3 linked regions of the Oryctolagus cuniculus genome follow. The protein of the gene in region 3 interacts with the protein of the main gene of each other region in a biochemical or structural test. Links are inferred from orthologs where the notes say so. Each region holds a gene or a part of one and is shown on either strand. Other genes may lie near its edges.

Region 1 (3,650 bases), on a different chromosome or scaffold from region 3:
ATTTATTTGAAAGGCAGAGTTGGCAAAGGCAGAGAGAAAGGGGGGAAGAGATCTTCCATCCATTGGTTTTGTGGTATTGTGCCAAATGGGCACAATACCTAAAGATGGGCCAGTCTGAAGCCAGGAGCTTCTTCTGGGTCTCCCCTGTGGGCCATTTGCTACTGCTTTCCCAGGTCATGGCAGAGAGCTGATTCGGAAGTGGAGTAGTCTGGACTTGAACCAGCGTCCACATGGAATGTCAGCAGCACAGGCAGCAGCTTTACCCACTATGCCACAGCGCCGGCCCGTGAACCAGTTTTATCTTACCAACACATTCTGCCTCAGGCGGTAGTGAGCCCTAAGTGCCACTCACTCTCTGTGTAATAGCCTAAATTGTTTCTTCCAAATTTGAGGACTCAAATTTGCCTTAGTCCTCGTGTTCTGGGATTCATTCAGTCCACGAGATGGCACTTTGGCAGGAAGTTTTCTGGGAGAGCTCTACTTGAGGGCTGCCTGTGGACTGGGGAGCTCGGTCAGTGTGCTCTCTCCCACTTCACCTTCAGCCTCTTCACTTTCTCCTCTTCCCTTTCTCTGCTGTGCGTTTTACAGGGGGAGCGGTGCCATCAGGCCTAGAGGAGAACCTGTGTAAGATCTGCATGGACTCACCCATTGACTGTGTTTTGCTGGAGTGTGGCCACATGGTTACCTGTACCAAGTGTGGCAAGCGCATGAATGAATGTCCCATCTGCCGGCAGTATGTGATCCGAGCTGTGCACGTCTTCCGGTCCTGAGGGCTTGCATCGGCTTCTTCAGTGCCTTACAGGGACACAGCCCAGGACGTGGGCCAGGGTTGGCCAGCTCACAGAGGGGCAGGCTGACAGAAGAAAATCTGCAGTGTTCCCAAGACCAGGGCAAGCAAAGATGTCGTGTCACCCCGGGCATCCCGTCTTGCGCCGGGGGTGTACCTCACGGCTGGCTGAGCTCCAGACCAGCGGGAACTGGTACAAATGACACGGTGAGTCCCTGTTTCAGCAGTCTCGGGTTGGTGATGGTAACAGATGAACAGAGGACTTGCCAGAACTTGGACCACGTCTTCTTCCCTTTCTGAGATCCTGGTTTCACCTCCTGTACCGCACCCCCTCCTGGAAATGCTCGCCTGTTTCAGCAGTCAGAAGTCCTGCTAGGAATGGTTGCCTTCTGCCCCAGCACATTTGGGTTTAAATTTCTGGTTTCTGGCTTTCTGTGCTTTAACCTACCTTTGCTGCAGTCTCTTGCTACATTGCCTAAACTCCATTTGTTTCTTTGGACCAAAAATATGTTAGTTTACCAGACCAATAATTGTCCTCAGGACAGAATCTGGACCACTAAACTTACCTCTGGGGAGAAATGAAGCACAAATGCTATAGGAAATGTGAGTTAAAAGTTGCTGAAGTGCTGGGTGGGATTGGAAGCTAGGGGTCCTGACCTGATGCTGCGCGCCAACAAAGCATCTGGCTCGCAAACCTCTGGTCAATCCCAGTGTGTATGAAAGGGATGGTGCACGCCTCTTCTGGGGCCTGACTTTGCACTGCCCATCATGTCAGATGATGAGAGGGGCAGTGTTAGGTGGAGGTGGCAGCTCTCTGCTTCCCTCTGATGTCTGATCCCCCTCGTCCAGCAGGCAGGAATCTCAAACCACTTTGTTAAAGTTCCTGTCTTTCCCGTGGAGTTTTTAAACTTGGTCTCACTGAAAATGAAAGACTCAGGGAGAGCTCTGGTCTCTAGCCACACTTCTCATGCCGTTCTTGGAGACCAGACATGGACGAGCGCCTTGTAGTACAGGGAGGCACTAGATGACGCTGGATTCTGCCCGTGCACAGACAGGTTGGTCGCTCTGGCTGCCTCTCCCAGCCTGCTGATCTGGGACAAGTCGGGGAGGACATGAGTAGGCGAGTCCTCACAGTCCACTGAGGCTGATGGAAGGGCTTCAGAAAAGCTTAAAAGTTGAGCAAAGCACAGCACCTCTGCTAACAGAAGCGCTGTGTGAGCCTCCATCACCAGGGGATGAACTAGGCAAACTACACAGCTGAGGGCCTCGGGAGCCCCCCCCGCCCCCCGCCCGTACCATATACACACCCTGTGCAACCGAGACTGATGAGAACCAGCCGACTCAGAGTGGAAGGCAGTGGGACCCCTCTGAGGGGACCTGTTACACTGGTACATACTCATGCCTGCCCTCCATCAACCACTTACCCCTTTGTGGGGATGAAATGTTGTCATAAAGCAGCTGTCAAACACTAGGCTACTTCCCTTAACATCATAGAGTTCTGGGATACATTGACTCGGCCACAGCCTTGCACATTTTCCCATGAAGGTATCCTCTTTCCCTTATGTTGGACAGTGAATAATGTAGTTTACAATGCCTACCAATTTAGCAAAGGGTCACTTATTCAGCCACTCCTCGATTCTACTGTGAAACAGGTCTATGTATGTGCAACTCAGTTAAGATCTAGCAATAACTTCAGGGCAGAAGCTGGCTCTCTCCCTTATAACTTCCTTTTCCTGCTGAGGCCTTAACTCCCCTACCTCCCAGATACAAGTGGAAGGTAAGATGGGTACTGATAGCTGGGTAATAACCAGTCAGAACTAGGTCACTCATCGTGTAGAAAGAACTTGCCTTTTGATCTTTTATCCTCTACTGGTGAAGGGTCTCGTTTAGGAAAAAAGGTGTCAAACAACTCTGGTTTTTAAATATTTTTTTTGTATTTATTATTATACCAAATAAAAGTTGGGAATTCCAAGATCCCATTCCAGTTAATATCCAACCCAGGTAGAAAACTTTTATTAATTTTTTTTAATCCTTGAATCTTTGATCCTGCCCCTCTTGGATCCTTGGTCTTAATTATTATGGAAACATCTAATTCTTCCAATAATTCCATGGCTTTTGCTGTGACTGCGCTGAGATTTCGGTTGAGACATGAGTGGTTCATGATGCATTGGACTAGTTGGATCCAAATTATTAAGAGTAAGCTGTATAGAAATTAATACTCAATATATATTGTAAAATTTGTTGAAATCTCTTGGATGTGAATGTGTTACTTCAAGTGGCTTATATTAAGAATCTCAGACTGACTTGGGTGTTAAAGCAAACCCAAATATGTATTTTTTTGTTACAGAGCTCAGCTTTATAATTTTGTAATAAAGTGTCAACATAGATGCCTGTCCAATCCTGTGTGAGGGTGATCCCAGAAGTCTGCTGGCTCTGGCCGACAGAATTGACCAATCAGGCAGACCCCAGGCCCTGCATACACGGCCATGCTCTTCAGAGACTGCATTGCTTTTGGAGATGCTTGGCTATGTGGACTTGGTCAAGAGCTCCCTGCTCAGTCTCTTTATGGCCTGCCCAAGATCTCACAGAGAAGTATGTGGGAAAGGCCATGCAACAGCATGTAAGAGTGGGAGCTGATGGGAAGATCAAGTGGGAAGAAGCACCAAGCGAGTTGAGACATTTCCATTGGTCTAGCAGAGATGGGCCTTAAACTCTAGGTAGGAAAGAGTCTGAGGACAGCTACTGTGTCCGGTTTTGTCTGCAGGCTACTCTGAGCTTTTGGATAGCTGTGCTACAGCTGGTGTGTGGCTCAGCTCCAGCTGCATGGGCAATTGCTGTGTGTGCATAGGCTTGTATGTATCTC
Region 2 (3,426 bases), on a different chromosome or scaffold from region 3:
AAGGGACTAAGTACCAGCTTTGGTGGGGTTTAGAACAAAAATGGACAAGCCAACCCTACCTTGGAGGCTAAAACCCAGCATGCTGCCACAGCCTCTTACCACCAATACAGCAGTCTTCCTGTAAACACCTTGGTATCTTTTCCTAAGAGGTGTAGTACCAAACACATTTGGCCTAGTAACTTACCCAGCCTCAGAATACCGAACGCACTGTGGTACCCCTGCTGGTAAACAGTAGCTAAAGCCCAAAAAACACCCAGGAAACATGCATGAGGTGTGCAATGCAGCCAACGCTGCAGGTAAGCCCAGATCTACCCACCCACAGGTTGCATAAGGCCCACAGAATCATTTGGTCAATAGCGGGCCAATTTTTGATAATTTTGTAATGGCTTGTAAATGATATAAACATCCCAAAGGCCCTTGACAGAAAACAGGCCTCCCGTCCCTGCTCCTTTTACCCTGTGACCCTCCCAACACCAGGTCCAAGAAAGATGCTCTTCCCAACCACGAGCACCCAGGTGAGTTCAGACTGGGGACAAGGTTAACTGATGGGTTAGGGTTAAGAGATGAAGCAACCAGGCCCCAGGACCATGGTCCCCCACCAGCAAGGCCTGAGGAACTGGTGTAGTTTTTATTAAATCCACAGAAGTAAAAACCATTATCGTGAGGGGCTAGGGAATGGGGCCACCAGGGAGAAGGAATCAGGCCACCAGGGGTGGGGGCGTGGGGGTGGGCAGAGGGTAAAGGATAGAGAACAGAGAGCCACACTGGGCAGGCCACGGCGGGGGGGGGATGGGTCCCAGGCTCAGGGGCCATCACCAGGGCCAGACAGATCCTGGGAACTCAGGCCAGCACCAGGCAGGCTCAGTGGCGGAGGCTCCACCAGCACAGCAGAGAACTTGGTATCACCAAAGGCCTCGTTCATGCGTGTCTCGAAGAAGCGCTGCAGGCCGATGATGGACTGCACGTCCGCCTTGTCCTGGGCCAGGCAAGGGTACAATGAATGGTTGGGTTCTGGCTCTTCACCTCCCTCAACCCCTGCACCCCCATTCCATGAGCTCACCTCAGTCAACTTGTTGAATTGCTTGAACATGCGGCCCACATCCTGGGCAAATTCCTGCGGGGAGCTGTAGGGGGGCGACAACTTCTCCTGGAGACGTGCACGGATCAGTGTCAGGTCCAGGGTGCCACCAGGCTGGTCCTGTAGGAAGACCACACGCGGTTAAGATGAGAAACAACAGTCCCCATCTTTCCAGCCACCCCACCCCTTTATAGGGCTCACCAGGGAGAAGGTAGAGTCAGTAGCCAGCTGATGCAAGGGACGACAGGGTTCGTGGCAGAACAGGGCCAGCAGGACTCGCTCACATTTCTACAGACAGTATATGAGGGAGAATGTCAGCTGCATGGGATGGGAAGGTCACAGTCTCTGGGTAACCACACCCGAGCAGCCGCAGTCCTCACCCGCTGATTGGCTGGCGAGAGCTTCGCCACCACGCCAGTGCTGTCTGCGCCATCCAGGCTGAGGCTGCCATCCTCCTCCTTCAGATCAGGGAGCACATGACAGAGCGAACAGCTCCACTCCTCCCTAGGGTGAAAAGAATGAGGCGCTGCACAGGAACCTGCCCAGCCCTCTGCACCCTGCCCAGCCCCACACGCACCCTGGCACATCCTGCAGGGCAGGCAGGTGGCAATCCAGATGGAAGCAAAACTCGCACTGGTTGCACATGACCAGGTCACCTGGCTTCTGGCAGACACGGCAGATGGTAGCACTATCATCCAGGGTGCCCGGGCCACCAGATGGGGCTGAGGTGCCCTCAGGAGCCACCACCTCCAAGCCTGAGCTGGTGCTGCCACTGGGTGAGGCCAGGCGGGGGCCCTCAGTGCCAGGGCCTTCTGCCAGAGCCATCAGCACAGGCTTGGTCTCCGGGCCCTCAGTGGCAGCAGGAGGTGCTCCAATAGCAGCCTCTGTTTCCTCCTCCTGCAAAGTGGTCAAATGTTCCGTAAGGTACAGACACGAGGGTGACAGGTATCATCCTCCAGCCACAGCCCTTGGGGACACACTCACCTTGACAATAGCCATGCCAGGGAGTGGTGGTGCACCAGGAGTTCCTGGAGGTGCAGTCCCAGGCTGCCCAGCTGCTGCAGCAGCAGCACCACGTTCAATAACGATGAGATTATAGTCCTCAGTGGTGCTGCCTGGAAACACCTTGAAGACAGGCGGCTGGCTATCAGCTGTGAGGTCCAGGTCCAGACGTTCTAGGCTGACCCGTGGCACCTTGCGCATGAGGCCGCTCACCTCACCCTCACCTGAGCGGGACCTGTAAGTGCATACTGGCGTGAGCTCCCTTTACTCTCATTCTTTCCCATCTACCACCACAGAGAACTCACACTCACCGCTTCACACCTGACACATGAGGCTCCGCACTTGAGTAGGGATCATCTGCTCAAGAGATGGAAAAAGACGGATGAACGGCTGATGTGTAGCCAGGGCACTGGGCTCTCCCACCCACCAGGCAGACTCACTCACCTGACCCAAAGCCATAGCTTTCCTGCACCTCCATGGGCTGTACACAGAACAGAGCATGGGGACCTCAGTGGGGCAGGTACAGCATGCGACTCCGTGCACTTCCCCTCCCTGGGTCCATTCCCCCGCTCACCTGGCTACTGCCAGAGCCCTGCTTGCTCAGGGGCCCTGGGGCCCTCGGAGGTGCCATGGGTGCAGGGCCTGTAGAGTTGGTACCAGGACGCTCTGCCACGATCTTGCCTGCAAGAAGAGACTATGTAGGTGTACCATTAGGGTGGCGACAAAGTAGAACAGGGACAAAAAACGGGGACCCACCAAAGGCCTCAGCACTCTTGGTCCAGGCATTGAGGTCCCACTGAAACTTCATCTCGCCATGTGGCTCCACGGGATCCACAATCATCTTGAGGGCCCGGTGCAACTGGAAGTAGATCTGGTGGGGCAAGCGGGAAGGGGCATGAAGCAACATGGGAAATGAACAGGGCTAGAGGGTGTTGGGGTTCCCACCTGTGAACCCACCAACACATACCAGCTTCTTAGAGAGCAACAGGGCTGTGTTGTTGTCACTCTCCAGAGCCCAAGAGGCAAAGCGCAGGATGTGCTCCTGGTGCTTCTGGATCTTAGTCATGGTCCAGTGCTGACGCTCCAGACGCTCCTGCTGACCCTCAGTCACCTTCTGCAGATGGAAAAGGTCAGCAGGGCAGTAAGACAGACACTGGGATCCCTGCCCACTCTGCATGGCACCAGCAGCCAGCAGCGGCTACCCAAGGACCCTCCCACCCACACGAGGATTACCTGGGCGTCGTTGACCAACACACGGCCCCGCTTGTTCAGCTCCTTCATGATCTGCAAGATGGCCATTTTGACATCCACCTGCACACGCTTCTGTACATCAGACACCTGGCGGA
Region 3 (3,650 bases):
TCAGGTAAACATGTGCACAGGGGAAGATGAGGCGTGGGCTCATAGAAAGCAGTCAAATGGAAACCAAAAGGACTTTCTCTTTCAGAGTTCCCCTATCTTTATTTGTAGAGGTTATCCAATAATTTCGTTAATTACATCGCATACTTCTGAGTCCATTCCCGAGCTATTCTGTTGTACCTGTACACACAAAGAGAAGCTTAGCTTAACAACAGTGAGATGTCAATTAGTTCACAACAGGTTTCATTCATTATCTTATCTAGTATTGTGAGGGGAATAACCCACAAAATACTCAGGCAAAGCCACTTTTACATCCCAAATTTTTAATAAGCACTTATTCAATAATATAGGACACAGCTAAAAAATGCAAACAATTTGCTGTAAATGCCACTTACAGGATTCTGATTAATTTTAGCATTTGCTGGCATACACCATATTATATATTTGATCGATGTATTTCTAAGAAATAGGTTCAACTCTTGATTCGATTATTTGAGATTCTTGAAAATATGTAATTCTACACTATATGGTTCTTGAAATCATATACTAATAATGTGCCAACGGACGTAATACTTCGCTTTATATCAATAAAACACTGGTTCTGGCAGAACTTAATTTCAACAATTTGTGCTTGACAAAATGAATAGGCATTTTGCTCCAGAAGAACATTTGAGTAGAAAAATACATGAAGAAAAACATTCCGTAATTCCTCTCTTTTTAGAGATGCAGGAAAGTTCTACGGAACATTATTACAATTAATTAGGAAATGCCATTCAAGTCCCCAGCTCTAGACACTGGACTACAGTTCTCCAATCAAAAAACATTTGTGAATAAATCCACAAATAGAAAAAAGTATAATACAATTTTATTCCAAATAAGCACATGGCAGAGAAAAAATTAGGATAATAGATAATACAGAAAAACAAACAAAAACTAAGAACCCATAGCTATTAGAGTTCCCCGTTTGCAAGTGTAGCTTCATTAAAGAAAAATCCTACTGGTGTCTCTCTCTAAGCCAATAGAATTTAAGTACTTCTCTATTCTTTTAACTAAAAAAAAAAAAAAAAGAAAAGAAAAAACTACCAGCCTCTCCCATCTAGTTTTTCTTATAATCTCACTGAATAATACATAACAAAAATGGTTAGAACACTTTTAGTTACTCTCTTTTGATATCCAGACCACTCTTCAATAATTCAGTCTGACTCTAAAACATCTAAATTGTTTGTCACATTTTATTTTTAAAAGAAATGTGGGCTTTCATGTCTAATGGCATTTACTTACTTTTTTCCTTTAGATTATGCCAAATGGTAGAAAATCAATTCCCTTTTCCCATTAATTTACAAATACCTACATAAGAAAATGGGCACTTGACACAAAATGTTTCATGTATCCAAAGCCAAACATACAACATAAAGCTGTTGGAGAATACACTGTAAAAAAGTTTTTCTAGATAGTAGGAGCCTTATGAAAGCAAGATTAAAAACAGTATCATCCACTGATAAAGATACTTGTGCAAATATTCCTTTTTCCTGTCCGTGGGGAAGTTTATTAGGACTTCATTTTAAGAATCTTGTAAGAAAGATTTGAGACAAACATCTCAATCCCACTTTGTACACTTTCTGTCTAGAGGCCATACTTACTTTTCTCTATCTGTTTTGTAGATCCGAGCAATCTCAGGCACTAAAGGATCATCTGGATTGGGATCACACAACAGAGAACAGATGGACAAGAGGACTAGAATGAAACAAATGTATTCATTAGTAGAGGATAAAAGCAAAGGGTGGAGAGAAACATGAGAAGTCATCACCTGAGAAAATTCTGAAAACCTACTATACTTTAGTGCCTAGCAGCTATATAAATTCTGCCTTGCTTGTATAACAGTGGTCAACAAAGAATTTAAAATCTTATACAGATTTCAAGTTGTCACCTAAAAATAAAAATGAAAACAAAAAGAACAAAATTAATGGTAAATGATAAATGACAGGCCGGCGCCGCGGCTCACTAGGCTAATCCTCCGCCTAGCGGCGCCGGCACACCGGGTTCTAGTCCCGGTCGGGGCGCCGGATTCTGTCCCGGTTGCCCCTCTTCCAGGCCAGCCCTCTGCTGTGGCCAGGGAGTGCAGTGGAGGATGGCCCAGGTGCTTGGGCCCTGCACCCCATGGGAGACCAGGAAAAGCACCTGGCTCCTGGCTCCTGCCATCGGATCAGCGCGGTGCGCCGGCCGCAGCGCGCCGGCCGCGGCGGCCATTGGAGGGTGAACCAACGGCAAAGGAAGACCTTTCTCTCTGTCTCTCTCTCTCACTGTCCACTCTGCCTGTCAAAAAAAAAAAAAATAAATAAAAAAAAAAAAATGATAAATGACATCTTGGTCACTCACACAAGAATATAAGACTCTTTGTTCAAAGTCTTATATTCTATGAAGTTAGAAAAGAGAAAGACAAGAAATGTGTGACTAAACTCCCAAGGAAGCCAGCCTAGACAGAAGTGACTGGTCCAAAGTCCTTAACTAGTAACTATAATGTCTTCCAAATATTAAACCAATAACACTTTTGAAAGCTCAATTTTTAGAAGCTCATGTTCAGGGAAAAATGGCTTTCAAAATTACAAATCTAGCCCCACTACTGTATACTCTTAGGTAAAACTGATAATCACAAAATCCAACAATGTTTTCTGTATGGTAGGTAGCACTTTTAGATACAACAGATTTGCTTAGTTTTCAGTTGAAAACAATTTAGTCTAAGCCAAGAACATAAAGGCCATTGGATCAGGCACTGTGATACAGCAGATTAGGCCGCTACTTGGGGTGCCTCCATCAAATATCACAGTGTCAGTCTGAGTCCCAGCTACTCCCTTCCCACACAGATTCCTGCTAATATGCCTGGGAAGGCAGCAACAGATGATCTAAGTACTTGGATCCCTGCCACCCCTATGTGGGAGACCCTGAAGGAGTTGGCCAAGCCCTGGCTTTTGTGGGCATTTGGGGAGTAAACCAGCAGGTGGAAGATCTGTCACTCTTTCAAATAAATAAATTAAAAAAAAATTTTAACAAAAAAGGCCCGTGCTGGAGCCAGCACTGCCATCTGTAGTGCCTGCATTCCGTGAGTGCCTTTCTGAGTCACAGCTGCTCCTCTTCCAATACAGCTCCCTGCTAATGGGCTTTGGTAAAGTAGCAGAGGATGGCCAAGTCCTTGGGCCGCTGTACTCACAAGGCTCCTGGCTTGCAACTGGCCCAGTTCCTGCGGTTGAGGCCATTTGCAGGGGGTGGGGGTGGGGATGGGGGAGTGGACCAATGGATGGAAGCTCACTTGCCCGCGCGCTCTCTCATCCTCAGCCTTTCTGTAACTTTTTTTTTAAAGATTTATTTAATATTTATTTGAAAGGCAGAGTTGGAGAGAGGCAGAGGCAGAGGCAGAGGCAGAGGCAGAGGCAGAGGCAGAGGCAGAGGCAGAGGCAGAGGCAGAGGCAGAGGCAGGCAGAGAGAGAGAGAGGTCTTCCATCTGCTGGTTCATTCTCCAGATGGCCACAATGGCCAGAGCTGGGCTGATATGAAGCCAGAAGCCAGGAGCCAGGAGCCAGGAGCTTCTTCTGGGTCTCCCACACGGGTGCAGGAGCCCAAGGACCTGGGCCATCTCCTACTGCTTTCACAAACCATAG

What was found.
Region 1: the proteins of UBE2D2 (region 3) and RFFL form a complex in vitro, tested with the Homo sapiens proteins (2 studies listed by BioGRID). The link is inferred for Oryctolagus cuniculus from reciprocal best matches to the Homo sapiens genes UBE2D2 and RFFL.
Region 2: the proteins of UBE2D2 (region 3) and TRIM28 form a complex in vitro, tested with the Homo sapiens proteins (2 studies listed by BioGRID). The link is inferred for Oryctolagus cuniculus from reciprocal best matches to the Homo sapiens genes UBE2D2 and TRIM28.

What each region holds. Positions count from the first base shown.
Region 1 is NC_091448.1:39,272,535-39,276,184, forward strand, and holds the end of RFFL (E3 ubiquitin-protein ligase rififylin), read left to right. Parts: intron 1-588; coding exon 589-770; 3' UTR 771-3,174; downstream 3,175-3,650.
Region 2 is NC_091449.1:95,372-98,797, forward strand, and holds the end of TRIM28 (transcription intermediary factor 1-beta), read right to left. Parts: coding exon 3,314-3,426; intron 3,195-3,313; coding exon 3,048-3,194; intron 2,952-3,047; coding exon 2,837-2,951; intron 2,762-2,836; coding exon 2,655-2,761; intron 2,562-2,654; coding exon 2,525-2,561; intron 2,438-2,524; coding exon 2,392-2,437; intron 2,316-2,391; coding exon 2,063-2,315; intron 1,976-2,062; coding exon 1,656-1,975; intron 1,583-1,655; coding exon 1,459-1,582; intron 1,367-1,458; coding exon 1,280-1,366; intron 1,199-1,279; coding exon 1,061-1,198; intron 977-1,060; coding exon 803-976; 3' UTR 614-802; downstream 1-613. UniProt on the Homo sapiens protein: Nuclear corepressor for KRAB domain-containing zinc finger proteins (KRAB-ZFPs).
Region 3 is NC_091437.1:27,308,895-27,312,544, reverse strand, and holds part of UBE2D2 (ubiquitin-conjugating enzyme E2 D2), read right to left. Parts: intron 1,732-3,650; coding exon 1,638-1,731; intron 178-1,637; coding exon 132-177; 3' UTR 1-131.